Notamacropus eugenii: one gene and its partners. The protein of the gene in region 1 interacts with the protein of each later gene in a pairwise test. Links are inferred from orthologs where the notes say so. Each region holds a gene or a part of one and is shown on either strand. Other genes may lie near its edges. The genes, in order: RINT1, SFR1, CCDC121 and SGF29.

Evidence for each region.
Region 2: the proteins of RINT1 (region 1) and SFR1 interact in binary tests that used the Homo sapiens proteins (3 or more experiments, as listed by UniProt). The two-hybrid records come from large-scale screens. The link is inferred for Notamacropus eugenii from reciprocal best matches to the Homo sapiens genes RINT1 and SFR1.
Region 3: the proteins of RINT1 (region 1) and CCDC121 interact in binary tests that used the Homo sapiens proteins (3 or more experiments, as listed by UniProt). The two-hybrid records come from large-scale screens. The link is inferred for Notamacropus eugenii from reciprocal best matches to the Homo sapiens genes RINT1 and CCDC121.
Region 4: the proteins of RINT1 (region 1) and SGF29 interact in binary tests that used the Homo sapiens proteins (3 or more experiments, as listed by UniProt). The two-hybrid records come from large-scale screens. The link is inferred for Notamacropus eugenii from reciprocal best matches to the Homo sapiens genes RINT1 and SGF29.

Annotation. Positions count from the first base shown.
Region 1 is NC_092874.1:150,325,946-150,333,729, reverse strand, and holds the start of RINT1 (RAD50-interacting protein 1), read left to right. Parts: upstream 1-4,779; 5' UTR 4,780-5,622; intron 5,623-6,814; 5' UTR 6,815-6,825; coding exon 6,826-6,999; intron 7,000-7,784. UniProt on the Homo sapiens protein: Involved in regulation of membrane traffic between the Golgi and the endoplasmic reticulum (ER); the function is proposed to depend on its association in the NRZ complex which is believed to play a role in SNARE assembly at the ER.
Region 2 is NC_092872.1:182,659,597-182,667,459, forward strand, and holds the start of SFR1 (swi5-dependent recombination DNA repair protein 1 homolog), read left to right. Parts: upstream 1-4,843; 5' UTR 4,844-4,950; intron 4,951-5,099; exon of another isoform or gene 5,100-5,356; intron 5,357-5,616; 5' UTR 5,617-5,649; coding exon 5,650-5,745; intron 5,746-6,055; exon of another isoform or gene 6,056-6,100; intron 6,101-6,227; exon of another isoform or gene 6,228-6,328; intron 6,329-7,863. Other genes in the region: glutathione S-transferase omega-1-like, read left to right, coding at 1-28, 2,358-2,511. UniProt on the Homo sapiens protein: Component of the SWI5-SFR1 complex, a complex required for double-strand break repair via homologous recombination. Acts as a transcriptional modulator for ESR1.
Region 3 is NC_092872.1:528,878,811-528,885,846, reverse strand, and holds the start of CCDC121 (coiled-coil domain-containing protein 121), read left to right. Parts: upstream 1-4,035; 5' UTR 4,036-4,744; coding exon 4,745-4,839; intron 4,840-5,618; coding exon 5,619-6,577; intron 6,578-7,036. Other genes in the region: GPN1 (GPN-loop GTPase 1), read right to left, coding at 3,134-3,227, 3,333-3,452.
Region 4 is NC_092872.1:46,715,769-46,723,066, reverse strand, and holds the start of SGF29 (SAGA-associated factor 29), read right to left. Parts: upstream 3,004-7,298; 5' UTR 2,792-3,003; coding exon 2,684-2,791; intron 1,050-2,683; coding exon 954-1,049; intron 1-953. UniProt on the Homo sapiens protein: Chromatin reader component of some histone acetyltransferase (HAT) SAGA-type complexes like the TFTC-HAT, ATAC or STAGA complexes.

The DNA of each region.
Region 1 (7,784 bases):
CCTGCCCTCACCTGAGCATCTGAATTTAATCTCACACTGAATAGCAGCCCTGCCCCCGCCCAAAGCCCTGAGGCTGGAAGCAGCATTTGAATCTCAGACCCCAAACACTGGCTGGGAGGATCAGGAGGTGAGGTGGGTGTGAGGAAAATATTCAGAGGTCAAGTCACTGGCTGGGAAAATGCCCAGAAAAGGGAAAAGAAATAAGACTATAGAAGGTTACTTTCTTGGTGAACAGGCATTTCCTCCCTTCCTTTCTGATGAGGAAGAACAATGCTTACCATCAGGCAAAGACACAGAAATCAAGGCTTCTGTGTCCCAGCCCACTCAATGGGCACAGGCCATGAAAGAGCTCAAAAAGAATTTTGAAAATCAAGTTAGAGAGGTGGAGGAAAAGCTGGGAAGAGAAATGAGAGACATGAAGTCAAAGCATGAACAGCAAATCAGCTCCCTGCTAAAGGAGACCCAAAAAAATGTTGAAGAAAATAACACCTTGAAAACTAGCCTAACTCAATTGGCAAAAGAGGTTCAAAAAGCCAATGAGGAGAAGAATGCTTTCAAAAGCAGAATTAGCCAAATGGAAAAGGAGATTCAAAAGCTCACTGAAGAAAATAGTTCTTTCAAAATTAGAATGGAACAGATGGAGGCTAATGACTTTATGAGAAACCAAAAAATCACAAAACAAAACCAAAAGAATGAAAAAATGGAAGATAATGTGAAATATCTCATTGGAAAAACAACTGACCTGGAAAATAGAGCCAGGAGAGACAATTTAAAAATTGTGGGCCTACCTGAAAGCCATGATCAGAAAAAGAGCCTAGACATCATCTTTCATGAAATTATCAATGAAAACTGCCCTGAGATTCTAGAACCAGAGGGCAAAATAAATATTCAAGGAATCCACAGAACACCGCCTGAAAGAGATCCAAAAAGAGAAACTCCTAGGAACATTGTGGCCAAATTCCAGAACTCCCAGGTGAAAGAGAAAATATTGCAAGCAGCTAGAAAGAAACAATTCAAGTATTGTGGAAATACAATCAGGATAACACAAGATCTAGCAGCTTCTACATTAAGGGATCGAAGGGCATGGAATAGGATATTCCAGAAGTCAAAGGAACTAGGACTAAAACCAAGAATCACCTACCCAGCAAAACTGAGTATAATACTTCAGGGGAAAAATTGGTCTTTCAATGAAATAGAGGATTTTCAAGCATTCTTGATGAAAAGACCAGAGCTGAAAAGAAAATTTGACTTCCAAACACAAGAATGAAGAGAACCATGAAAAGGTGAACAGCAAAGAGAAGTCATAAGGGACTTACTAAAGTTGAACTGTTTACATTCCTACATGGAAAGACAATATTTGTAACTCTTGAAACATTTCAGTATCTGGGTACTGGGTGGGATTACACACACACACATGCACACACGCACACACACATAGAGACAGAGTGCACAGAGTGAATTGAAGAGGATGGGATCATATCTTAAAAAAAAATGAAATCAAGCAGTGAGAGAGAAAGATATTGGGAGGAGAAAGGGAGAATTGAATGGGGCAAATTATCTCTCATAAAAGAGGCAAGCAAAAGACTCATTAGTGGAGGGATAAAGAGGGGAGGTGAGAGAAAAACATGAAGTCTACTCTCATCACATTCCACTAAAGGAAAGAATAAAATGCCTACTCATCTTGGTATGAAAACCTATCTTACAATACAGAAAAGTGGAGGATAAGGGGATAAGCAGAGTGGGGGGGGATGATAGAAGGGAGGGCATGGGGAGGAGAGTGCAATTTGAGGTCAACACTCATGGGGAGGGATAGGATCAAAAGAGAATAGAAGTAATGGGGGACAGGATAGGATGGAGGGAAATATAGTTAGTCCTATACAACACAACTATTATGGAAGTCATTTGCAAAACTACACAGATTTGGCCTATATTGAATTGCTTGCCTTCCAAAGGGAAGGGGTGGAGAGGGAGGGAGCTAAAGAAGTTGGAACTCAAAGTGTTAGGATCAGCTGTAATGTTCTTACCACTAGGAAATAAGAAATACAGGTAAAGGGGAATAGAAAGCTATCTGGCCCTACAGGACAAAAGAGAAGACAGAGACAAGGGCAGAGAGGGATGATAGAAGAGAGAGCAGATTGGTCATAGGGGCAATTAGAATGCTTGGCGTTTGGGGGGGGAGGGGAGAAAAGGGGAAAAATTTGAAACCCAAAATTTTGTGAAAATGAATGTTAAAAGCTAAATAAAAAAAAAAAAAAGAAAAAAGAAAAAAAGAAGAAAAAAAAAAAAAAAGAAATGAGGAGCAGGCAGATTTCAGAAAAACCTGGAAAGACTTGTATGAACTGATGCTGAGTGAAGTCAGCAGAACCAGGAGAACATTGTACACAGTAACAGCCACATTGTTTGATGACTGACAGATAGACTTTTCTTAGCATGCAAGGATCTAAGACAACTCCAAAAGACTCATGATGGAAAATGGTGTCCACATCCAAAAAAAGAACTATGGAGTCTGAATGTAGATCAAAACACATTATTTGCTCTCTCTTTTTTCTTTTTTTGTTTCTTTCTTGTTTCTCATGGTTTCTCCCATTGGTTCTAATTCTTCTTTACAACATGACTAATGTGAAAATTGGTTTAATATGAATGTATACGGAGCACTTATATCAAATTGCAGGCTGTCTTGGGGTGGGGGAGGGGAGAGATGGGGAGAGATTTGGAACTCAAAATTTTATGGAAGTGGATGTTGAAAACTAAAAATTAATGAATTAATTAGAAAAAATATAGTCAGGGTGGCAGTTCAGTAGTAACTCCAAATTCCAGTATTAATTTACCTGAAAAGCACATCTTTCCCTAGTACAACAATCATTATACCAACTGTTTGTTTTAAGAGAGGTTCACATATATTTCTTCCCAATAGTCAAGATCATGAAAGGAGAAAAATAAGACCAGTGCAAGGGTGATGGAGTGGAAGAGCAGGTGAGACCAGTGATTAGAAGATGAAAATTCTGTTTTGGAGGAGTGAGGAAGAGATGGAAAAGGAGAGGAGAGGAATATAGGTTCAGACTGCATAATGACCTACATGTGAACCAGGAAACCAATTTTCTGTTCATGTTTTAAATTTTCCTGGATAGTATTAAAATGCATTCTTTGAGGCTCCTCTGATATCGTCCCCATGGGTAATGCCACCCATGATGATTTCGACCCCTTCTAGACCTTAGTCATTTCATGAGTCTATGGTCAATCTTCCCCTGGTGACTCTCTCTAAATCTGATAAAATAGTCCTCTAATGCAACAGATTCAGTCTGTCACTAAGCTCATTTATTAAAATCCAAATGTTACCAAATTACAACCTTAAATGGAGAAGAAAAAAGTTTGTTTTCATTCCTCTTCACTTTATTTTTTTTAAGTATTATACTACCAAAAGTATAGTTGTTAAGTGTCAGTGACTGAGGTCTGAATACAGGATATAGATGAAGATGACTGGGGGAAGGAGGAAATTAAATACAAATTTTAAATACACATTTTAGGAAATAAATCCCAGCACCTGAATAAACTCTTGTTTGTTTATCCCATCTTGTGTTCACTTTTTTTTTTTTAACAAAGCAGTTAAAAGTTAGATCCTAACTAAAAAAGTTCATTTGAAAAAACTCCACCTTTTTCTTGCCTTTAACTGGGGTTCCAAATTCTAATAATCTCAGATGATGTTTGTATCATTGCACAGGAACTGAACTCTTCCTAGTTCCTAACCTTCCTCTTCCTCTTCCTAACCTCTATTCCTAGTTAATCTTGAAATTTCTATTAATTTTGAGTTAATCTTGAGCTCATCTTCTTTGCTGAAGAGTGTCTAAGAGAATCACTCTTGACAAAATTAGAAAGCAGAAAATTTGGGAAATTGTATTTGCCTTAGGATCCTCAAAGTCTCAGATATAATACTTTATATTATATAATACTTTCAGACACAATACTTTCCTTCAGAGAAGGGTTGGAAGGGCCAGGAATACCTCTTCAGTTGTCATAATCAAGGAGTGAAGGAGGTGGAGGTAGAGTCATGGAGTCAGGGATCATTAAAATTGGACCTTGAAATTCAGCCTCTTCATTGGATAAATAAGGAAATGGAGGCACAGAGTCATCTGGGGAACTCTGGTTCAGTGGAAAGATCAATGAATTTAAGAGTCAGAGGACCTGTGTTCAAATTCTGACTTTGTCAGTTATGACTATGTGACCCTGGGCAAGTCTCTTAACCTCTCTGGGTCTCAGTTACCTTGTCTGTAGAATGAGTTTGGACTCCTACCAGCTCTAAATCTGTGATATTAGTGAATCGCTCAGAAGTGATAGGAGTTTGTGTTGGATTATCCACTTTCCTTAGTGACTAACAGCCCACATTTTGGGTACCCACAACCCTTAATAAAGGCCAGGACACTTGTCTCCTTTGAGCAAAGTTAAAAGGCATAGAAAAACAATGGACCAGTTATCCCAAATGCCATGCCATTAGGGTGGGGAGATTTGGTTGCATATATTTGCCATCATGCAAAATTTGGAAGGTGGTACTATTGGCATTTTTTTTCTTTAAAAAAAACAAACAATTTCACAGTATTTCAACTTCACAAAACTATAATGGTGTGACTGCACTTATGGATTTTATTGTTTAAATCTTCAAAATAAAATACAGAGGATTTTAGGTGCATAAAGCAGTATTCCTTGCTACTACAACTGTTCTCAACCATCATCTGCAAGATTTGTGATCCATTAGTAATAACAATAGCTAACATTTTATATAGTGCCTTAAGATTTGCAAAGTCAAAGTACTTTCCATATGTTATCTCACTGGATCCTCACCACAACCCTGTGAGGTAGGTGCCATTTTACAGATGAGGAAACTGAGAATGAGAGACACAGCACCATTTGTCCAGCAAGGTTCAAATTCAGGTCAGCCTGACTCTATGTCCAGTGCCCTGTATCCACCATGTCACTTCTGTTTGCCTCCATACAACATGCAAGCTTATGATTAGTAAATGTAAATGTTACATATAATGCGATGTCATTATTGGTAATTCTTGATGTTTACTGCTGCTACTACTGCTGCTGCCGCTACTTTTTAGAGGCATCTCTACTCCAAATCTTCATTTGTGCTGGACTTATGGTAGTCTCCCAAGCTCAGCCACAGTACACCCCGTACCTTGACCCCAACATAGTGATGTCATTTTGGTCTTCTTCAAGCATAAAGGACAACAACCAACCAACTACTACCAGTACTATCACTACGACCATGACCCAGGTTCCTAGGAAGTTCTTAGACTAGCATCAGGACCAGTTTTTGTCTGGCCTCCCCGTAAGAACTGCAGCGCGACCTCCAGGCAGGCGGTGGCGCCACAGGCTAGTTATCCGCGGCCGGGGAAAACGAAGAGTGTGTTCCTCTGGGAACGAGGGGAAGGAGTCAGCGAGTTCGGGAGAGGAAGTGGCGTGGGCGGCCACCGCGGCATCCTCCGGGTGAAACGCCCGTCTCGGCGTCTGCGAGTCCGGTCCTGGAGGGGCTCCCTCGGCGCCTCTCACAGGCTGCCCCGGGCAGGCGGGCTGCGCATGGAGCCGAGAAGACGGAGAGCAGACGGCGGCCGGCGCTGAGCCGAGGTCAGGGGAGACCACGCGGGCCGGGGGCGAAGGACCTCCCCTAAGTAAAGCCCGCGAGAGCCTCCCAGGCGGCTTACGCCCGGGAGGGCTGCGGTGCGGTGTCCTGGGTTCGAGTCCGAGCTCTGACGCTTATTACCTACCCGTCCCAGGCCAAGTTACCTGACCTCCCTCCACTGCAGCTTTTCCAGCCTGCAAAGTCAGGGAGGACTTGGGGGTGCATTTCTGGGGGGGTCCGTGAATTCTGAACTTTTACAACTTGTTAATAGCTGAAAGTCTCCAAAGCTTTCTCTGTGATCAGGGTCGATCTGGACGTTGTGCCTGTACCACCCTAATGCAGACTGGTGGGCGCCCACCGTGTGCCAGTCTGGGCGGGGCGGGGAGGGACGCGGCGTGCCAGCAGCTTGTAGAAACAAGAGAAGTAAAAAAACTGAGTAATAAAGACAAACGCGACAGGGTGAACTGGAAATACATCCGCAGATTAATAAATAATTCCTAAGGGGGCGGGGACACCAAGAGTAAGGAGACTTGAGAAAGGTGGCACTTTAATGGAGACTTGAAGGAAGGCCAGGGAAGCTGGGAGGCTGGGAGAAGGATGAAGCCGGTGACAATGCTAGGAGCTTCGGATGGAGTGTTGGGTGTGGGAAAGAGCCAGAAAGGCGGCGTGTCCTGGTGGGGGAACGTAGGGAGAAGGGTAGGAGGGAGCCAAGTTTAACTGATGGTTTTCTGTTTCATCTGGATGTCCTGGAGAGCTGCTGGAGCTGATTGAGGGAAGGGTAGAAGTTGTCATACACTTAGGAAAGATCAGGGGTGGGCAGGAGTGCAGAGAGACTGGGCAGGAGACCAGTCAGAAGGCTGTGGCAGTAGTTAAAGCTTGAGGTGTAGGAAAGGCAAGAAATATCAATGATCTCCCACATTATTTACCCCGTCGGATGATGACCCTTTTCCCATATGGTGTTTTGTATATGATAAATCTTTGTTACCAGCCTGTAACTTAGTAGCTAAGTCTTAGAGAGTTACCTGAAGCACATGGAAGTTAAAGGATTTAGAGCGCACATCTTACACCAAAGTGTCAGTTTAATAAATGCTTGTGGATCGTCTGAGTGATTCTAGTGTGCCGTCACGTGTATGTTCTGTAGCATACAGTTGTTGTTATTCAGTAAATTTTTTGCTTTACAATTTAAAAAAAAATTAGGAGATCTAAGAATGGCAGCTCCTGTCAGAAAAGAACAGACCAACCAAGATGTAGATACCTGTGATATCCCCTCCTACGTGTCTGAATTTGTGGAAAAGGAAGTTGGAAATGATCTTCAATCTTTAAAGAAACTTGGAAAACTCATAGAACAGTTGACAAACAATAAAGTACAATTAGAAGAACAGGTAAGTATTAAAAATTAAAATTGAATTGTACATTTGATGAGTTCCTTGCACATTTATGTAGAATGAATAGCTGTTGGTAAAAACAGGAAAAATATTCATGGCATTTTGACTTTGGGATCAGGAGAGTTAGGTAATAGTTGTATAGCTCTTAAATTTATAAAGGATCCACCACCTATTAAGTATTCTGCAAAATAAATAAAAGACAAATTTCCTACTTGAATGACATTATGTAATTGGAAAAATGATGTTGGTAATGTTGGTAACATTTTATGGAGCTTTTATTATAATTACTTTAAAATGCTTTTACACTTAGTTGTATTATTGTCTTTTTGGCAAAGATTAAGAAATTTTCTTTCTACTACATTGGTGAAAAATAAATTCTGTGTCCATATTCTTTTTTTCCCTGAACAGTGCATACTTTTTGTAATATATTGTTGTTTAAAATATATTTTTACCTATGTCGCTGTCAAAATGGATGCAAGATTAGCATTCCTAATCTCTTATATTTCCATAATATGGGAATCTGTAGTAAATCTTACGGTACCATTCTAAATATAGGAAAAACTTCCTCTTTTTCCCTTCCCTCCCCTGCCCTCTCCTATCCTCCCCTCCCCTCTGTGTATAGCAATACCTTTTTACTGATTTTCCTCTTATTTTATCACATTTAAATATAAACAAGCTACAGTCTAGAGTGAATGATGTTACTGGTTCTGCGTGACACAGAGAATCCCTAGTTGTTTAGTTGTTACAGGGCTTTCTCTCGAACCCCAAATTCCCTGACCTTA
Region 2 (7,863 bases), on another chromosome or scaffold:
ATCGTCTGGGATCATATGGGATAGCTGAGTAAGAGAGTTTATCATTTTATTGTGAACTTCTTGGTATTATGGAGGATGCTTTTTGAAATAATTTCATCCCAAATTATTGAACCTTTTTTGGGAGAAAGATTAGGGTGTTAGGAAGTAAAGTCACGTTTTAGCGTAACTTTGTATTCTCCTGGTTAAAAAATGCAAATGTACATCCCAATTATCACAAGCGTCAGGGTGAATACTGGGCAACTTTGCCTTACTTAAATCCACTTGCTCATGATGTCATTGGTCCTCTTTGACAACAAAGGGTGAACAACAACAGCCTGGTTGCCCAAAGCAAAGCTTGATGTCCCTCCCCCCCTTTGATAATGTTTAATATTTAAGTTTTTCATACTTACCCTAGTCAAACAACCCAGATTGCAAAGACTGATTGAGAGTCAGCACATTATGATAGCCTATCATTTTGGCTTTCTTCTCAACTGTTTTCATGAGAATTATTTGCTTTTATTTATAGCACTATAATGTGGCCTTTAAAGATGGGCTGTATTTAATATAGTGGGTGGTTTTAGTGCATGTTTCTAATACTTTAACAATCATTTTAAATCAATAGCAAGATTGTTCGACATATAGACATTTGGCTCTGACAATAATTAGTTAGGTCAAGGTGTTTGGGGGGACATTGCTGCATATGCTTAAATGCCCAAGAGCCAGGGCAGGAGTTAGCGGAAGACTGTGAGAAAGTTACTGAGCTCTAAAGAAAGGAGCTAGGCCACAATGTTCGAGGACTGTTTCTGATAGACTTAGCCCTTCCCAGCAACACAAGAACCTAAAACATTCCCAAAGGACTCGAGGGAAAATGCCATCCACATCCAGAGAAAGGACTACGAAATCAAAATGCAGAAGGAAGCAGACTATTTTCTCTTGTGTTATGTTTTGGTTTGGTTTGGTTTTTCTCATGGTTTCTCTTATTTGTTTTAATTCTTCTATGCAACATGACTTTTGAGAATATAACTGTAGAACCCATATAAGATTGCATGCCATCTTGGGGAGGGAGAGGAAAGGGAGGAGGAAAACATTTAAAACATATGGAAGTGATTGTTGAAAACTGAAAACAAATAATCCATTAAATTTTAAAATATATATATATATATATATAAAAGGAAATGAAGAAAAGAGGAAAAGAAAGGAGGTAGAATGATCTGGATGTGAAAATCTGGACACAAGACAAAGTTTGGACTCAGATAATCAAGAGGGATGTAGTGAACTTCAAAGAAGCAGATGCTTGCTGAATGATGATAAGAAAGGGACAATTTGAAAATAAGAGTAAGGAAGGCGTATACCTATTCTTCCTCTGTGGGATCAAAAATTGTCCAATCTGCAAGAAAAGTCCCTCAGTCACAGCTCCAAGCCAATAGCATATTATTAAAGGGTCCATGGCCCCCTCTAATGAAGTGGACCTCATATCTTCCTCGCAGTTGGAGACACCCTTGATCACCAGGACCTTGTTTATATAGGATTGATACCTGGACGCTTGAGAGGCGACACAAAATACAAAATCCCATTGGTTGATAAACCTTGTTTTGAGGGCCAAAAATGGTGCGTCAACTAAAAAACAGTTTATCAGCAAGGGGATCCTAGGTTGGGTAAAGCACACAACGTCTCTATTGACTAATTATTCATAATATGGCAAAGCAATAGTCATCTTTGGTGACTAAGGAGTCATAAGATGGTTACCTTCTGGGACAAGAGAGAGTGGTTTGGAGGTACAAAAATTAGCTGGGGAGACTTTCCAAAGAATTAAGGCATCCACACTGGGTTTGGACTTGGAATTTGAGCAAAACAGGATGAAGTTATCTTTGTCAGCATTCTTGTGGGTGTGCAAGTGAGCTTTGTAACTGGTAAACAAGTGTTAAAAACTGGATTAAAGTTGGAAGCCTACTATAAGAACCTATCTTTTCTAATTATCCATATATGATTTACATAAAATATCAAATTTATTAATACTGATTAGAATAGAGTAGGGGTCTAAATGAACCTTTCCTCACACCTTCTAACCCACTATGATAGGGAAAATGAGAAAAACACAGAAATTCAGACCCAGAAGGGACTGCAGGCTCCATCTAGTCTAACTCATTGCTGAAAAAGAATCCCCACAATACTGCTCCCCCACATTTCCCAGTCCTAGAGAGGGTGGCCAGGGGTACAGGATGGTCTGTTCAAGGTGGGGAAGTATTTTTTAAAGGTTATAGTAAAAAATGAAATAAACTGCAAGGAAAAATACTAATAAATGTGAAAATTTGTGGTGCTTTCCGATTTCATGCAAGTAATAACTCCCTTCTTTTTTTAAAAAAAATCTCTTCTCTCAGTTGTATCGACCACACTTCAAAACTGAAGCTCTGGGTAGCAGCCATGAAGAAGGATCCTGCAGTATCAGCCTTCCTGACAGATGAGAAAACTTATCAAAATTTCATGGATCTCTATTTTCAGAACAGTCCTGAGGCCTGTGATTATGGTCTGTGAGGGGAGAGTGATCAGCAGAAAAGGTTCTATACCTTGCTCTCTAGGTTTCCCTCCATACTAATAAAAATCATATCCTGTATGGAATGTTGCATAATTTTTTTACAGATTGTTCTCATACCCATCCTCTCCTTTACACTCATTCTGTTTCCTTAGCTTGATGCTTCCTCTTTGCATGTCCCACAAGGCCTTTGAGCCTTCCTCTGGATGTCTTACTCCTACAGTGAGCTTGTGCTATCAGCTCTCTACTGATTATGAAGATTCTCAAATCAATATTTTCTACATTTTGGTCTCTTAATGCCTGAAGCAAATGTTTACTTCAATGTGTTGCTGTCAACTTGAGCTCACAACTGTAATGGAATTAATCTTGTCTTCACCAATGGAACTCCTTTCTAATTAAAAAAAATTGTGGGATACAGTTGAATGTTTATTGGAGTAATTGCTATGGATTTGTACGTAATCAGAGGATCTGGGTCCAGATTTTGGCTCTTTTGTGAACAGGGGCAAAGGACATCATCTCTCAGCTTCCTCTCTTATTAAAGTGAAGATCAGAACAGCTACCATTCTATCAGTGCAGCCTCTCTATCTCTTATCTCAAAGCCCTTTTGCCTCTGGCAGCCTGGAAAGCTGCAAACCTCTAGAGGGTGGCTGCCTACTTCTTTCCTGAGGGTTCAAGGTGTAAAGATGAGTGACTGGGGGTTTCTTTTTAATGCCATTGCCCAGCAGCCCCCAACTGATTATGAGGTCCTATCAATTAGCTAGCCAGACTTAACCTTTAGAAAGAAGTATTGATTATGCTAGTATATTAAGAAGAGTGCAAAACATCTCCTCCCATCCCCCCAAACGGGAGTACTGCCACAAGTGCATATAAAGTTCAGGGAAACGTGGGCTAGGCTTGGAAATCACGTGTGGCAAAGGGGTTGCTCCTTTTTGTAAACTGGAGCGCACTCTAGGGAATTTAGATCTCTCTTCTCCCCAAAAGGGGAAAACAGCCTGAGAACACAAAGGCCAATTCTTGAGATCCAAATCCCCCTTTTCCCTAAAGGGAAGAAAACCAGAGAAAGACAATGCCTATGAAATTAAAGGTTTTATTAAGCAGGGAAATAAGACGTGCATGGGAGCCGTCAGCCTAATGCTGAACAACTCAACTGAGCAGTGGGTAGGATGATATAAAGAATTGGGAGAAAAGGCAGGAATTAGGTTGGTCCAAGGAAGGAAGGAAGCAGAGGGTCCCATTCCCAAGGGGAGGGGGAGATCCAGGAAATGGGTAGGGGAGTGGGGAATTCCAGGGGTCAGAGCCGTGGCCTTTTGATGGATAAATCAGAAGATACTCTTGGTAATAACCAACCTTGACAGCTACAGGCTTGAGCGTAAACAATAAGTGTTTATCATAAACCCAGGATCAGTGTGTAAGCGCCCCCCAACAAGAGTGAGGGGAGTCTCCGAAGGTAAGCTTGTACCTCGAAGGTCTACACCTCACACAAGCGTCTGCTTTGGGGTGAAGCGCTCACTCGGCTTCGGAGCTGCCCAGGCCTGCGGGGACGTCACGCCACTTTCCAGCTCAGCTCCCCACTTCTCGGTGGGATCCCTGCTGGGGAGCAGGCGCGTTCACAAATGCACTTGTACCCTTACGTAAGGGGCAGCGCTCTGCCGCCCCCCGCGGAGTCCTGAAGCTGGGCCTCCCCTGGGCCTGGTGGAAGGCTTGGGGGGGGAGAAGACCGGCTCTCCCCTCCCACCCGGGGCTTACCCGGCTCTCCCAGGTCCCGCGGACTGTTGTTTTTCCCGGGCTTTTCTCGGTCAAGCACTGGGTGGTTCACCATTCTCTTCTCCAACTTATTTTACATTTGAGGAAACTGAGGCAGACAGAGGCCTTGCTCCGGGTAACACCGCGGAGCGGAGAAGCCACATCAGAGCTCACACCCCGACCCCGGGCCGGGGCTCCCCTCCGGGCCGGGGCTCCCCCGCACTGCGCCGCCAAGCCGCACTTCCAAGACGACGCCTCCGTCTTACGTAACACAGGCTATGAGAGTTAACCCCCAAAGCACTAGGAAGTCATGGAGGGGGAAGGGCCAGGGGATCTCAGGGATTAGGGAATTCCCATGGGGCACTGCGCGGGGAAGGAGGGCACAGCGGCGTCCGAGCCAAGGATCCGTTTCAGGAGAAGATGGAGGGGGTGGGTTTGTGAATTAGGGCGTGTGCAAGGCCGAAGTTCGAATAGGTTCGAATTCTGCCTTGGATTCTAGCGGCCTCTTGGACCTCGTCGAGTGTAACCGGGCGGCTGCAAAGGGAGATGGCCCCGATCCGTTCTGTTGTGGAAGCTGGACTTGAAGCGGAGGGGATGACGCGGTGGCAGCTTTGGACTACGTTTACCAAGATTCGGGGCCTAGACGTCCTTACGTAGCTCTTTAGGGAGTGGCGGAATAAAAGCGCGCAAACGCCGAGGTAGGCTTTTTAAATATCTAGTAGGAGTTCCAGGAAGCAAACAAAAGCCCCGCCCCTCCCCGCCCCCCTCGTTCCTGCCCCGCCTTTTCCGCTCGGCTGACCAATGATGTCTCGTCTCGAGTTTGGTTATGTTTCCCGCCAAGCGAAGAAGGGGCGGGGCGTGGATGCCGGTGGCCTGTAATCCCCACCCCAGCGCGCGTGCGTACAGCGAGGCCGTTTCCTCTGTCTGGAGTGGGTGGGGCCCATTCTCCTAGGCGGCCCGCGCTTCTGGCAAGCGCCGCCTCAGGTGCGTTCTCGGACCGGAGCGGCAGCGTGTGTCCCCGGCCCGCGAGTAGGAACGAACCCCGTTTCTGAGCCGAGGCCGGAGTCCCGGCCCAGCCAGCAGCTGGAACCGCCCTCCCCAGAGGCACGCTGAGGCAGCTGGGCCTGGGGTTCTTCTGGGCCGCCCCGGGGCCGAGCGCGCCTCCGGCCGGGCTGGGGCGGGGCTGCAGCGGAGCTTGGGAGCCGCGGGCCCCGGCCCCAGGGTGGCCCGAAGCCTCGGGTCAGAGGCAGCCCCCCTCGGCCGCGGCACCGGAGTCACAGACAGGCCTCAGAACTGGGCTCGGGTCCGGGGAGGGAGAGGTGGTTGGAGGTTGGAACCTAGTTTGTTTCCTGTTTTGTTTCTAGAGCAGACCTGAACGTCCTCCTGTCCATCCGGAGATGGACCTTCCCTCAGCTAAAACCACGTCCTTAGCGGCTGCCCCCGAGGCCGGCGACCCCGGGACACTAACTCGGAATAATAGTCCGGGGAAACAGGTAGGAAAAGCGCCCCGAGACCTGGCAGCCCGGGCGCCGGCAGCCCGGGCCCTGGCACCCCTGGCAGCCCGGGCCCCGGCACCCCCGGCGCCCCCCTGCCTCTCCAGGCTCAGGCAGCCCCCGTGGGAGATCAGATCCAGAGATGACTCGTTGAGGCCGCTTGTTTGATGGAGAAGGAGCCAGGGTCAGTGGAGGTTAGGTTTTCCCAGGCAGTAAGCAGCAGAGGTTGGATTTGAATTCAGGCCCCTGACTCCTCGCACCGTCCTCCGTGCTTGGGAAGGTGTTGTTGAAGCCCATCCCTCTCCTCCAGAGCCAGCCCCTGGACGTTTCCTCCTGAAGACCTTTCCCCATAGAGGTACCCTGGGGGTCCCTCACCTCCATCCCTTTCTTAAATCACTTTTCTTGGACCAGTCCTTTGCATTTATACTTTTTCTTGTGTTTTTTATAATAATCTTCCGCCCTTCTCCCCCACCCTCCTTTAGATTAGAAGCTTTTAGAGATGGGAGACGGCTAGGTGGTCCTGTGGATAAAAGGGTAGACCCAGACTCAGGAAGACCTGACTTCAGATCCAACTTCAGACTGGGCAAGTTACTTACCTCTGTTTGACTCAGTTTTCTCAGCTGTAAAAAGGGATAATGCCAGTGTTGTTTTGCGGATCAAATGAGATAATATTTGTAAAGTCCTTAGCACGGTACTTTACAGATAGATGCTATATAAATATTTATTTTCCCCCCACTTACCTGGGCGAATCTTTAACTTCTCAGAGCTAAAGTTCCTCCTTTGGTAAAATAAGAGTTGAATCAAATGATTTCCAAAGTCTCTTTTAACTTTAAATCCTATGATCTACTTTATACACTGTGCTCTGTAATAGAAACATTCAGTCAAGGACTATACATTCTACTTCAGTAGAGTTAAAGCATTTTGCAAATCTTTTAAAAAAAACCAAAACACTTTAGTCTTACCATACCCCATCCTTGTCTTCTCTGTGGTGTAGTGAAGTAGTCATTTCAGTTCAGTAAAAAGCACCTTCTCTCCGCTCTGCTTAATTATGACTGCCAAGTGTTTATTTAGTCAGTCAACAAACATGAAGCATCTGTTAGGTTCTAGGCACAGTACCAAGATCTGGGGAGGCTAAAGACAATCCCTGCCCTCATGGAGAACAAGATCTACAGGGAATGACCACAAGTAAACAAATAAGTGCAAGCAAGCTTTATTTTGGATAAATAAGAAATAACAGAGGGAAGGCACTAGAATTCATTTCTTCCTGTAGAAAATGAGATTTTAGTAGGGACTTAAAAGGAAGCCACTATTGTTTTTGCATGCAATTGGGAAATAAGATGTTTGGGTAAGAGGTATAGAAATCTGTCTTGCCCAAAGGTAGGGGTGATAGAAGGGATGACAGATTGGGAGAAGGGGTTTTTGGGGTTGCTGTCTAGGGGTAGGGATTGGGGAGAGAAGGGGAGAAAATTGGAATTCAGAATCTTGTGGAAGTGAATGTTGTAAACTGAAAATAAATTATATGTTAAAAAAAAAATTTTAAATCAAGAAAAAAAAAGGAAACCAGTAGATGGAGATAATGAGGGACAGCATTCCTGGTATGTGAGACAGCCAGAGAAAGTGCCCAGAGCAGCTTATTTGTTTGAATAGCCAGGAGGCCCAGTGTTTGGATCAGAAAAAATGTGATGGGGAGTAAGGTGTAACAAAATTGGAAAGGTAGGGACTAGGTTATGAAGGGCTTTGAATGCCAAATAGAGGATTTTGTATCTGATCCTAGATTCCATAGAGAGCCACTGGGGTTTATTCAGGAGAGAGGTGATGTGATCAGATGTGCACTTTAGGAAAATTACTTTGGTGACTCAATGCAGGATAGACTGGAGTGAAGAGACCCACCAGAAGGATACTAGAATAGTCTAAGTTTGAGGTGATGAGCACCTGAACTTAGAATGGTAGCAATGTCAAAGGACAGAAGGTGGCATCTGAGATTTGTTTTGAAGGTGAAATCAACACCTTGGCAACAGATTAGATATGGGGAGGGTATGAGAGATAGTGAGGACTAGGGTAAGGTCCAGGTTGCTCACCTGAAGGACTAGTAGCATGACATTGATCTCTGTAGTAATA
Region 3 (7,036 bases), on another chromosome or scaffold:
CAGGAGCTCATAACATAAGTGGGGAGGGGAGAAATCAAGAACTAGACTTTCCAACAGACACACCTCCTACCACAACATGAGCTAGATCCCACACAAAGCTGAAAGGAACCTCAAAACTCATCTAATGCTGAACTCCTGAACAAAAATCTTCTCAAAATCTCTGAGTGAATGGTCACATTGCCTTCACCTGCAAACCTACAGGTCCCAAAAAAGCCAGTCCCACTTCTGGACAAACTGATTGTTAGGTCATTTGTCCTTAAGAAACCTTAGAAGAACCAATCCCCTCATTTCACAGATGAAGAAACTGTGTCACAGAGAGTTCACATGATTCATCCATGGTCATACAGCTAGAAAGTACCTGAGGTAGGACTGAGAATTTTCTGACTCCAAGTCCAGTGCATTATCAACAATACTATATTGCCTCTAGGGTGTTACAGGGAAAGCTATTTGTAAACCTTAACACACTGGAACCTCCATTTTAAGGAAGTGTCCAGGCCAAGTATGTTCACTCCTTCATTCTTATCTAATCCTGACTCTCTAAAAATTTTTCTATACCATGCCCTCACTTTTCCTTTTCTCCTCACAACCCCTCAGTTTCTTTTTATATATTGTCTTTCCATGTTAGAATGTAAGCTCCTTGAATGCCTTCCATGGCTATCTTTCTTCCTGCCCATATTTGTATTCCTAGCACTAAGGCCTGTGCCTGGTACAAAGACAGTACTTAATAAATGCTTGCTAACTTAAATTGAATTACGTTAAGTCGAAAATTTATTTTTTTGAAACTTCCACTCATTGCTCTGTGGTGGAAAGGCAGCATGACATAATGGAAAAAACCTTCCACTTGAAGTCAAAAAGACCTGGGTTTGAACCAGGTTCTGATACTTCCTAGCTGTAACTCTGGGAAGGAATTTCTTTAAGCTTTATCTGTAAAATACACACAATACTTTTAATATGAACACAGTACAAGGGGCTCAAAGGATCGTACAGTTAGAACTGGAAGGGGCTTTAAGGACCATCAAGTTCAATCCTCTCATTTTACAGATGAAGGAACTGGGTCACAGGGAAGTTATTAAGTGATCTGCCCTGGGTCAGACAACTATAAAGTTATCTGAGACAGGATCTGAATCCAGGATTTCATGATTCCAAGTCATTGCTTTATCCACTATACCCTGTTGTCTCTGTAAGGAAAGTTGTATGTAAACTTTAACACACCAAATAAATCTGAGTTGTTATGTTACTGACTTCTAAGGTCTGATATTTCTTCCACATAACATCGTTTTCCCCTTACATACTCTTCTCCAAGCTAAACCTCTCTACTTTCTTTAAATGACCCACATTTAGTAAAGTCTCCAAAGTCCCCAACTCAGCCAGTTTGCCCTTCTCCAGATACACTCCACTCTATCAATGATCTTCTCAAAAGGTGTTAACTCTGAGCAGCTTACAATACAGTATGAGCCATTTTAAGCAGAATTAATAGAATTTATTAATGAACCTTTCACTAAGCATTTATTATAGAAGTACTTGAAAAAATAACTTTAAGGCATGATCCAGCTTAAAAAGTTTTTCTGAATTAAAATGCATATAAATTTGTACAATTAAGTATATTTTCAAGTAATTATGATCCCATTTTCACTTGGGCCTTATTTCGTGAGGAGTACTCTTTTAAGAAACAGTAGATTCATTTTAGTAGTCTGCCTCTGAAAATAGCTTAAAAGACACTAAGACTCAATAGATGTCAAGGAATAAACTGGAAGGGGCTATGGAATGGAATGGAGAACACAGAACAAGACAATAGAACCTAAATTCCTTAAGGACAGAGAATATTCTGGTTCTGTATCCCAAGGGCGCAGGAATAAGAATAGAAAAAGGGATTGGAACTGTGATGTCATTGGTATAGAGAATTCTCAGATGAGGAAATGAGTTGTATAAATGAAGGGTGGCACCTTGGCAACTAATTAGAGTTGCCAGGAGCACTGAATTTAGATCTTCCTAGTCAAGGGAGGTCTCCATCTACTTACTCCACTTTGCTTCTCCCCTAGCAAATCATTTACTTAACAAATAAATTTTGGACACAGAGAATGAAATAACTTTTCAGTCCAAGTCTTCAACACTGTTGCAAACTAAAATTAGTATCTTGGCTTAATGATTGCCTTCCAATTTATAGCCATCTCATGACCAAAGACAACATAATTCAAGGTTACCCAAAAAGGTGAGAAATAGAATAAAACTATGGCTTGGGAATTAGGAAGCCCTAAAATACAAGAAGCCTAAGTGACACTAGGAGTCAATAACTTAGGGTCACAGATTTAAAGGAGAATTTCTTTTCCAATTTTTTCATTGTCTAGAAAAAGATGAAGTTCTTTAAATGGGAACAAGTGAACTGCGCAAAAATGGAAGGAGGTCCTATGGACAGGGGCAGATTCAGGATCACAGGCAGCCTTCATGATTGAACTCCTCAGGGATGTTAGAGTTGGCACTTAGGCTTTCCACGTAGACTGAATGTCACTTAGTTGTCAGATGTTGATCCATTGGTAGATTGTAAGACTGGATCAATCAATATGCATTAAGCATTTCCACTCATAAAATAAAGCAGTAATTGCCCTCAAGGTGCTATAAAGTACCCCAGGTTTCTTGGGACTCTAAGAACAGTCTGAGCCTCTTAGAACATCTCAGTGTCTACTGTTGAGTTAAATGTCTTCCTCAGTTCCAAATTTATCCCATACATAGCTTATTTATACATAGCTTTTTTTCAAGTCTGCCCTCTTAGACAGTGGGCTCCTCTTGAGTAGGAGCATTGATCGTTTTTTAAATGTCTTTTACCTTTTTTTCTTGTATCCCCAGCACTTGGCACGGTGCCTGTCACATAGACGGCACTTAAATGCTTACTGACTGACTGTTGCAAAGCGGACCTTTTGTCCCTTCAGTTTCCCAAATCTTAGTAAATGACGTCATAACATCCCCAGCTGAGCGAACAGGGCAGCCGGACAAGAGGAAGAGGGGGAGGCCGGGAGGGACCGCGCCAGGTTGGGACGCTGGGGCGGTGTAAGAGTGGTCGAAGAGCCCACAGGCCCGGCTCGACCCGCAACTTCTTAGGGCTCCTCCACACGTCGGGCCCACGCTCGCGCCGACTCACCGATGTTGGCTGGGAAGGGGACCTCGTGCACCGCAGGGTCCAGGTTGATCACGTAGGGCGGCGAGCCCAGGCCGTGAAGGTATCCCGTGAGCCTCTGCGGGAGACAAGGCGAAGGTGAAGGTGCTCCCGCCATCCCACCACCGCTACCCCGGGCAGCCGCGGCCAGGGCCCCTCCAGCAAGAGCCTCTCCCCACCTCACCTGTACGAATGTCGTCTTCCCAGACCCCGCCATCCCCAGCACCAGGAGACACACTGGAGGCCGAGGCCGGGGCTGGGGGCCCTCTGCCTCCGGAGCCGCCGCTCCCGCAGAAGAATCCATCTTGCCAGTGTGTACGGCAGCGCCTGCGCAGAGCGATGCTGGAAATGAGACTGAGTAGCAGTCCGACGGCAAGCGGGCAAAACGGAGCGGAATCAGAGTTTAGGTCGGATCTGGAGACAGGGCCAGGGACCCAGGAGGAGGAGGCAGGGTCAAGGGCGGAACCTGCCGTGGAAATTGAGAGTAGGGCGGAATCGAAGGCGGGGCCAAGGGCGGAACCTGCCGCGGAAATTGAGAGTAGGGCGGAATCGAAGGCGGGGCCAAGGGCGGGGCCAAAGGCAAGGCCTGCACTGAGATTTGAGAGTAGGGCTGAATCGAAGGCGGGGCCAAGGGCGGAACCTGCCGTGGAAATTGAGAATAGGGCGGAATCGAAGGCGGGGACAAGGGCGGGGCCAAAGGCAGGGCTTGCACTGAGATTTGAGAGTAGGGCGGAATCGAAGGCGGGTCCAAGGGCGGGGCCAAAGGCAGGGCCTGCACTGGGATTTGAGAGTAGGGCGGAATCGAAGGCGGGGCCAAGGGCGGGGCCAAAGGCAGGGCCTGCACTGGGATTTGAGAGTAGAGTAGAATCAGAGGCGGGGGCAGAAGAGGGGGCGGAGCCTGCACAGGGACCTGAGACTGGGGTGGAATATGAAGAAGAATCCAATCACCTGGGTTCCGTCGCTGGTCCCAGGACTGGTTTTGAAGACGTTCTGAGGCTCGAATGGATCAAGGATATTCCAGAGCGGGTGCAAAAAGAAAGCACAGGTGAAGAAGTGGTGAGGAGAGCGGGCGACAAAAATGGCGAAAAGTTGGGTTCGACTCAACTGGGGAAGGACTGGGAAGTGGACGAGAATTCTAAGTCCTCCAGAGAAGAAAGTGTTCGGGAAGAGAGCGACGACACCCTGAGCTCCGAGGCTCAGCCTGCCACAGGCAGGAAAGAAGTGGGCAAAGGCGACTACTGTGTCCTCTGTACGGTGCCCAAGACCCCAGACCAGGACAAGAGCTCTCGGTCCTCTGGCCCTGGGAAAACTCAGAAGTGGTCACCGGACGTCAATCTTCCTGTAGGGTTGTACGTCGACACTTGTTGGGTTCCCAGAAGCTTCCACAGGGAGGAACTCATGAGACTCAATCTTTCGCGTGGAGTTCCTTCCCTGGCCTCCACCCCCGCTACCCTTGTGCACCGTGTCCAGCAGTTTTGGGATCAGCAACATTTGAGTACTCGTAACAGGTGAGCTCAAAAAGGGTCGGAGGGAGCAAAGGAGGAAAACCTCTCCAAAGCAGAGACCCATGGGGGGAAAGGGTTAGCTTAGCAAGAGATGGCAAAGGATAAACAGCTAAAAAAAAAAAAAAAAAGATTCTCCCAACTTTTCTCCCAGTTCTTGTACTGCACTGGACAGAGCATCTACCTCAGGTAAGGAGTTGGAAGGAACCTCAGAGACTTTCTTGAGCAACCCACATGTGAGACAAAAACCCCCTCCACAACATGCCCCGAAATAGCCTTTGCTAGAGGACTTCCAGAGAAAGGGAATCTTCCAGTCAATCAACAAACATTTAGTAAGCACCTACCAGGCACTGTACTAGGATCTGGGGACAGAAATGCAAATAAGGTTTTAAAAACTCCTTTTGACTTTATATTTCCTTGTCAGCCTCAGAACATCCAGAGTTTTGCCATTACTGAATCTATTGTTACAAAACAGTGGCATGCTTTTGTACACCTCTTCTGTAATCTGCCCTACCTCCTTGGATTTTGTCTATACCCAGAGGTCAAAAGCTGTGATAGATCCTACCAAGCTGGAAAGAGTAGATTAGTTGGGAAATATTGTCACCCTAGGACCAGCCTAGCTAAGATCAAAAAAGCTTCATTACTTAGAGTTTGGCTACTGAATAATAAATTTTTTGACCACAGAAATTCATAAAGTGATTTATAAAGGCACATTAGGAGTTGCAGTCTGTCAATAAGAGGAGAACATACAATGAAATCATATGTCTTTTGAACATAACAGCTCACACTGTCCTTTGAATTTTTGAGAGTTGCTTAGGAGAGGTGAAAGAGTTGGTGGCTTGAGCCAATGAAGGATGACACACTGAGTGTCATGAAAGATAAGTGACATCAAGGTAATAATAATAGCTCACAAATAATCATAAAGGTATAATGGAGAAATAACATATTTCTGGCTGCTTTTCCCCCAGATTTTTTCGGGGTCCCAGAATGATATGGCAGAATCTGAATCTGAATCGTAATATTGCTTTGCTAATGGGTAGCAAAAAGCTACAGCAGTTTTTAAAGTCACAGGAGGAGTTGGAGAAAAGGGTGCAGAAAGAGCTGGCAATAAAGGCACAGGTAGAGGAGAAAATGATCCAGCTGAATGGGGAACTGATGCAAACACGAGCCCGGAGGAGGCAGCTCATAGATGATCATTGCCACATGCAAGCTGAAATCCAACCATTCTTAGGTGACAGCCCTGTCCTAATGGGATATGTACCTGATCCAACCAAGAAAAAACAGGTAGCACCAATTAAGGTATGGGATCAACAGACACAACAGTTGGAGCAGATACAATGTCAAAGGCAGGAGCTGGTCTCCAGTTATGAGTCCCATATATCATCACTCCGGGAAGAGCTGCTGCGACAAGAAGAGACCCAAGCCCAACTGAAAAAGAAGATTCAAGCATTAAATGCTAGGAGGACAATAAAGATTACCCAGGAGGAGCTTATCAAATCACTGCAAATGGAAAAACCAAGAGTCCAGAAGGAGGCCAAAGCACACCTTCATAGTGTACAAGGTGATCTGGTTAAAGAGTGGAGAGCACTGAAGCATCAGCTATCTGATGTAGAGCTTTTGCTGGGGAAAAGTATGATGGGAAAGCACAACCATATCCTGGAACATGCAGCAGACAAATCTATCCTTGATTTCACCTGGCAACTGCAAAATGAGAATGAACAATTGCATAAGGAAATGGTACGGCTTATTCAAGAAGCCCAGCAGCTAGAGGCCCAGCGGACCAGGCTTCGAAAGCAGAAGCAGCAACTACAGCTAGAGCAGTGTTGCCTGGAGAGCATCAAAGAAGGGAGACGGCGTCAACTACTAAGAGCTGTTCCCTGTCAGAAAGGACAAAGCAGTTCAAAGACCACGCTGGCCCCTCTCCCAGGTACCAAACCAAGGATGAATTCATCCTAATTAGTGAGAATATTTATTATACATCCACCTAAGCAGATTTTGTTAGTTGCTGTACAAAGTAACTTAAGTGATCTCTGCCTCTAGGATCTTGTAATTTTAAATGGAAAAAAAATGAAATGAATATGAAATAGAAGGCTATCAGTCAGACTGTAGAAAGAGGGATGAAACACAACAGTAGAAAAGTTCATATTTAAAAACCTATTTCTGGTAAAAAAAAATCTATGGAAAATGACTTAAGATAATAGCTTATTGAAAGTATTAAAAGGAGAGTTAAGTTCACTTAGCACTTCTTCTGTAGTGCTGTTTAACATTTAATTCCTGGAATTATCTATACCTCCCTCACTCACTTCATCCTCCGATGATAAAACAGAATCCATCTCAGTATCTTCCAGCATCTCAACATTTAACTGACTGGCTTCCCTGGCTGCTT
Region 4 (7,298 bases), on another chromosome or scaffold:
ATCAAAGATCTGAGAGCTGAAGGACTTCAGATTGTCATCTAGTCCATCCTCCTCCTTCTACAGATAAAGAAACTGAGGCTCATGGAGGTTATATCACTTCTGAAATGTCAGACGGCATCAAAGACAAGATTTGAACCCAGGCCTCTGGGTCCTCAGCCAATGCTCTTTCCACTGCGCTCCCTACGTCTCTCAGATGCAGATGGAGGTCTCTATGTTGGTTGGTTTTACTCATTTTTTTTTTTTTTTGGTTACAAGAGAGAAATTAAAGAAATGGAAGCAGGGAAGGTTAGGGTTTTTACTTATTTTCATCAATAAAACTTTGCTTAAACATACACCTATCCACAACTTTATTGTAACCATTATGCATACCTAGTTTCTCCTATATATGTGTGTGTGTGTGTGTGTGTGTGTGTGTGTGTGTGTGTGTGTGTGTGTGTGTGTGTGTGTATACACACACATATATATATACCTCATCCATGTTTTGCTTAACTATTTAAAATGGTACAATGGGGAAGAAAAAATTAATAAAACTTGAAAATAAAACCCCCAAACTTCCTGAATATCTCACTTCCCTTACTATGACTTAGGAACATCTAATCAACATTTCAAAATAACATCATTAATACTTTATAGCCAATTCAGTTGCAATTTTAGCTATCAGATTGTCCAACAACCTCTGCTCCCTTTAGTCTCCTGTCCTTCAGACCTAAAGCTCACTTGTCCTCTAGCCTTTTCTCCAACCCCCCAGACTTCTGTTCTTTTTTCTGTTCAGGAACCACCACTTACAACGCTGTTCCTCTGGCACTGAACAGCACCTCTAATACTGGTTTATTCTAAAATCATGTTTTCAGCACTGTAGGAAGGAAGCCTATGGGACCTTAATTCCCTTTCTAATCACCCTCTGAGTCTTCCCAAGGTCATCCCCTCTTCTGAGGAGAAGAATCAAGTATCACCTGAGTTTGCTTGATCAGCTGATGGAGCTCCGTGAGTAGTTCAGCTATTCTCGAGTCTGCTGACACCAGAGCCATGGCTGTGGTAAATATGGCTTTCTGTGAGAAAGGGGAATGGAAGGGAAGAAAAGAATGGTCAAAAACCTCTGGGAGGGGAGGCTCCTAAAGGACCAACCACACTGGGGCATTCAGTAAGTTTAATTCATCCAGCAACAATTGCAAACAAGTTGCTCAGAAAGCATGGCATTGCAATAACAACAGGGGTATTTTAAAAAGAAGATTTAGTCCATGTCCTCCCCGTGCTTACAATCTATCAAGAAGAAAAGCAATATCCATGAGATAAGAGAAAAAACTGGATTTGAAGTCAGGGGACTAAAAGCTATGCCACTCACTAGCTTTGTGACCTTATGCAAATAAATTTATTTCTGAGTCTCAGTTTCTTCATCTGTAAAACTAAGTGATCACTAAAATGTCCTTCCAACTCCAGATTCTATGAGGCTAATACTAAGAAAAAACGATAACTTTATCAGTTATGAATTACTGAGTTAGTTTATAGTAGGTCTCAAACTACTGACAGGTATTAAGGAAATTCCAAGTTTTAAATGAGGTTTGGCAGGCAAAAATGTGTCTTAGCAGAAGGCCTTAAGATTACTAAAAAACAAGGGAAATTCTACTGAAGGGGAACCTACAACAACAAGGAGGAGATAGCATTGCACCTGCAGAAGCTGTTAAGACAAGTGGGGTTAAAAAAGAAGGGTCATGTATAGAAGCAATAGCAGGTGAAAAGACACAGTAAGGTAACTGTTTGAAGGGGCCCTGGACTGCAAGGACCCTGGATAATTTTGATTTAATGGAACCTAGTTTTTACAGCTAGAAAGGACCTCAGAGATCTGTAAGTCAGCTTCCTCAGAGAGGAAAGCCCAGAGAGAAAGCCACTTTTACCCAAAGCTATACAGGTAGTAAATAAAAAAGTTGCTATCTGAACTCTTGGTGCTCTGACTCCAAATTCAGCGTTCAAACTATTCTAGCAATAAGATGCTTTGGAAAGGGGGAAAAGACCAAAAGCAAGGAAATCTGCTGTCCTCCTAAATTCATCCCTTATAACTCCCAAAGGGATTTGTTCCCATAATTTTTTCCTTTTTTACAACAGAAATCAGAATATTTGGGGGATTAATTCCCCATCTGTTTATTATCCCAGCAGTTTACTACCTGAAGTGTTCTCAGACATATCCCTTGGCTTTTCTGCAGCTCAGTTTTCATATGAAGGAAATGAAGGGGTTGGGGGTGCGTGATATGATGCTTTTACCTGTAACTTCTCCCTTTACACAGCTGCAACCCCACTACCTTCTAACATACACAAGTCTCCACCTAGAAAAATTCTTCATTTGGGCTCCCTGTCAACTCCGACCAAAGGAGTCTGGACCTGATCTCACAAGAAAGAGGAGATCAGGGAAGGGCTTTCAGACCGAAAGGCGGGAGAGCCATGATTCGGGGGACAACCCCCAGAACCTGCGCAGAAGGGCGACCCCCCAGGGGGCCGGCTCCCCCACTGACTACCAGCCCCGGCACCTTGGGCAGGCTGGGATACCTGGTGACGCTGTGTCCTCCTCCGTTAAACGGGGTGATCCTGGCACTACCTACCTCCCAAGGCGGCTGGGGAACAAGAACTAAGCCAACTTCAAGTCGGCCCCCAAGCTCCCGGGAAAGCCCCGGGGTTCCCTCGCGCTACCGACCTCGTGGCGCTGCAGGAAGGAGCGCTCTAAGGGGCTTTCTAAACGGCCGCCACTATCACTACCGCGGCTTTCGGGAGAAGGACCCGCCGAAGCCATGCTCTCCTTCATGGCCGCCCGCAGCTCCTCCTGCGCTCCGCGCTCCTCGCACCGAAGCACGTGCTTCGGAAAGCTTTGCCTCCTCCCCACCAGCCCACGTGCTTCCAAAGGCCGCCCCCCACGTGGTACGCCAGGCGCGGCCCCGGCGAACAAAGAACCCTCCGCGGCGGGTGCGTGACCTCTCCCCCCTCCCCGCAGCCCCCCTTCCCGGAGCCCCGCAGGGTGCGCATGCGTACTGTTAGTGTCTTGGGGCACCACAGCCTGGCCCGGGATGGGGGGAGCACAACGGGTGAGATGTTGCCGCTCCCCGCTGCCCCGCTCCCCTGGTCCGCCTGAGGCCCATGGCTGCTACCTAAACCCACCTACCGCGGACGAGCCAAAACGAGCCCACTGTGACGGAGGCGATGAAGACCGCAGCGACGGCAACTGCAACAACCCCCCTGAACTTTTCTCATCCTCGTTCCCGGGCTAGGGAATGTTAGTGCGCTTGCGTATGCGCACCTACATGGCCTGCCGGGAAATGTAGTCTTTCTCTCCAAAGAGACTGCGGAAAGGGACCCGGGACTCGACTTCTACGCGCTGGCCCGGCGTGCTCTTTGCTGGGAAATGTAGTTTTAAGTCCTGCGTTTGGCAAGCTTCAGAATCTTGTCTTTTTTCCTGTTACACGTTCCCGGTTTACGTTCCTCTAGATTCTGCGTTCATCTGTAGAGGATTTGTATTACAGAGCCTTAGGAGCTCAGGTTTTCTGCTAATTGCTGTGCAGTCGTATCCGACCCTTCGGAACCCCATTTGGGGTTTTCTTGGGGACGATACCGGAGCGATTTGCCATTTCCTTCTCCAGCTAGATGAGGAAACGGAGGTAGAGTTGAGAAGAGAGGGAGTCATACAAGGGCTTTCATACTGAAAGAGGTATTTTAGGAAAATTGGTGTGGCCGAGGTACAGGAGAACGATGTTTCAGGTGATAACAGCCTGCACCTGGGCAGAAAAAGGAGCAGTGGGCGGTGTCGAGGGGCAGAACCCACAGAGGACCAGCTCCCCTGCTTACTACCACCCCCAGGTCTTGGGCCACGCTCCCACTAGTAAGTGTCTGAGGCCGGATTTGAACTCGGGAAGGTGAGTCTTCCTGACTCCAGGCTCAGCACTCTGTCCCTGCGCCCCCCTAGTTGCCCGAAGTCAAACCATCTACTTCTTAGTATCATCAGTGAGGGGGGTCGTTGCTGAGGACGATGGAGAAGTGTAGAGTAGGTACCTGTCCTAGGGTCCACTGAGTGACAGATGCTTAAGAGCTGAAAGACAGTTCAGAAATCATCCAACTGAGTCTCTTCATTTAATAAGGAAGACACCTAAGGCTGAAAGAAAGTAGGTGTTTCCCCCACGCAGATCATACAGCTACTTTGTATCACTGGGACCTTACCTAGTTAGGTCGGTTAGCATCACTAAACATAGAACTGAAAGACTTGGCATGAAGAGTTTAGAGAGATGTTTGTATCCTTCACCTTCAGTTTCTAGGAATGCATATAAAACAGTAGCAAGTAATACAGGACAAATTCTGAATTTCAGATTAATCACTATCTAATCAGACCTTCCTAATGAAATTCCACTACTCATTCCTAATAGCTAGATGATGAGAGCACAGTACTTGGAATGAAAAAGACCTGAATTTAAATCCTACCTCAAACATTTATTAGGTGGGTAAGTCACTTAAGCTTTTTCTGCCTCAGTTTTCTCATCTGTGAATTCATGCAGTAATAGCACCTATCTCCCAGGGTCCTTGTGAAGATAGAAACTAGACGATTTTTATAAAGCTAATTATATAAATAATAATTGTTATTACCTAGCATCTGTTTAAACATTTTAAGACATAAATTTTTATTGATAATCTTTTGTTTTTACATCACCTAATTTTTTCTTATATCCTTCTCCCTTGCATCTTCCATATAGTCATCCCTTGTAACAAAGAATTTTTTAAAAATGAAAAATAAGAGAGAAAAAAACCAATCAATATATCTAAAAAACTCTGACAATATATTCAATGTTGTAAACCCCATAGTTCCCCCATTTTTGCAAAAAGAGTAGGAGAAGGGTGTAGGTCTCTTCTCATATCTTTTTTTAAAAATTATTTTATTTGTTTTCAGTGTTCTACAATCACTTGCATGTATCTTAGATTTTTTCCCCTCTCTCCCCCTCCTTTCCCACCACCTCCCCAAGATGGCGTGCCATCTTATATAGGTTCTACACATATGTTCCTATTAAATACATTTTCACCGTAGTCATGTTGAATAATTAAAATGAATAGGAGAAACCATAAAACAAAACATAATACAAAAGAAAATGGTCTACTTCATTCTGCGATCCAGTTCCATAGTTCTTTCTCTGAATGTGAAAGGCGTTTTGCCTCAAAAATCCATTGGGAATTTTTTAGGTCCTTGCATTGCTATGAAGAACTAAATCTACAAGAAAAATTCCCCACACACTGTGGTTGTTGCTGTGCACAAAGTTCTCCTGGTTCTGCTCCTTTCACTCAGCATCATTTCGTATAAGTCCTTCCAGGCCTCTCTGAAGTCTTCCTGTTCATCATTTCTTATAGTACAATAGTATTCCATTACATTTCTATATCACAATTTGTTCAACCATTCCCCAATTGATGGGCATCCCCTCAATTTCCAGTTCTTGGCCACCACAAAGAGAGCTGCTATAAACATCTTTGTACATGAGACCCTTTCCCATTTTTATGATCTCTTTGGGATCTCGTATCTTCTTTAGGGCAAAATTTGTGCTGCAACACTTTAAGTGACAAGGAGCTCATTACCTCAATAGGGAGTGAGTGGGATAGGTTTAGTGAAGACTTCTCAGATTGTAATTCTTCTCCCAGGAGTGAGGTAAGACCTAGAGGCTCAAGGTTACAATATTTTTAGAATAGAATAGTTCCATATAAGGATATAAAACTGTGTAGTATATTAGGGTCTCAATGACTGGATAAAACTTATGTAATTCCTCGATGTCTTCATTTCAAAAGGGATTGGTTAGATTTCGTGTCTAGAATGTAAGATCATATTCTCAGCTAATGAGGATGATGGTCAGTGGGGGGAGGAGGGACTTGCATTAGGGTCTATATAAATCACTGCCCTTTTCTTTGTCTTCAGCTTTCCTACTCCTACAGGTTAGCCCCGCTTCTCGAGAATCGAATAAATCACTTTTCTGTCATCACTTTGAGAGTCCTCTGAGTAATTGATTTATGTAGGGACCTGAGCCATTCCACACAGTTGCCTATTTTATTGTTGGACAATTGTAACTGTTAGCAGTTAAAACTTCCTCTCTGTAACTTACATTCATTGTACAAGTTTTATTCTCTGGAGCCAAGGAGAATGTCTAATCCCACTTCCATATAACTCTTCAAATATTTGAAGACTCAACCAAACAAAATCTTGTATTGGACACAACACAATTTAAAAGGCATTGTTATTCATCATCATCACCATTATCATCATAATAATAAACAGCTAGCATTTATATACTTTAAGGTTTGCAAAGCAGTTTACAAATACCTCATTTTATTCTTACAAGCACCATTGGAGGTAGGTGTTTTTGTTATCCCTATTTTATTGATGAGGAACTTAAAGTAGACTAAGAAGTGACTTTCCCAGGGTCACACACCTAGTGTCTGAGTCAAGATTTAAACTCAGGTCTTCCTGACATTAAGTGAAATCCTCTAAGAAGAGAAGATTGTAAAAATGGTAAAAATCACAGCATTAATGTCAGAAAAGGTGCAAGAAGATATTAGGAGTTAGTTCATAGTTCTGCTTTTCACCTATGTCAGGTGTTTATGAAAATGATCTTTACACTTAGTAATGGGTGTTCTTCACGAAAATACCAAAATGGAACAAATAGAATTTCAAAGATGATTCTCTGCAGCAGACCACATCTTCATGTTGAAGTGCAGGGCATGGGTCTCAATGTTGTCTCAAAAGAATTCAGACTCAGACTGTCTCCAAATCAAGTAAGGGCATCGATTTGGAGTGATGCACCCAGTGGACTCTAATTCAGTGAGACAGCAGCAGCAGTCAGGAGAAGCTAGGGATTTTAATACAGGAAATGTGCCACGAGGGCAAGGAGATGAGGTAATCAGGAATATGCAGGCAAAGGGTGAAAGCTCAGAGTTCTGTGAATATCCTGTTCAGATAAGTCTTCATTTCATTGGCCAGCCCATTTGTCCAGGGCAGATCTCATTATTAATCTCATCATTCAGAGTTACAACACTGCTTGAGAGGTAGAATGAATTCAAGATCATTCTTGCCTTTCAAGCCTTCTTATACCTGGCTCACCACTACATACTCCGTGTTCCAGTAACGCTGGTCTTCTTGCTATTTCATGGACAAGATCTTTTAATCTCTGGGTCTGGGCATCTTCTCTGACTGTCCCTCATACCTGAAATGTCCTTCTTCATCTGCTTACTGCCTTCCCTGGCTTCCTTGTTAATACTATATGGTTGCAAATCATGAAATATGATGATCTACAAAA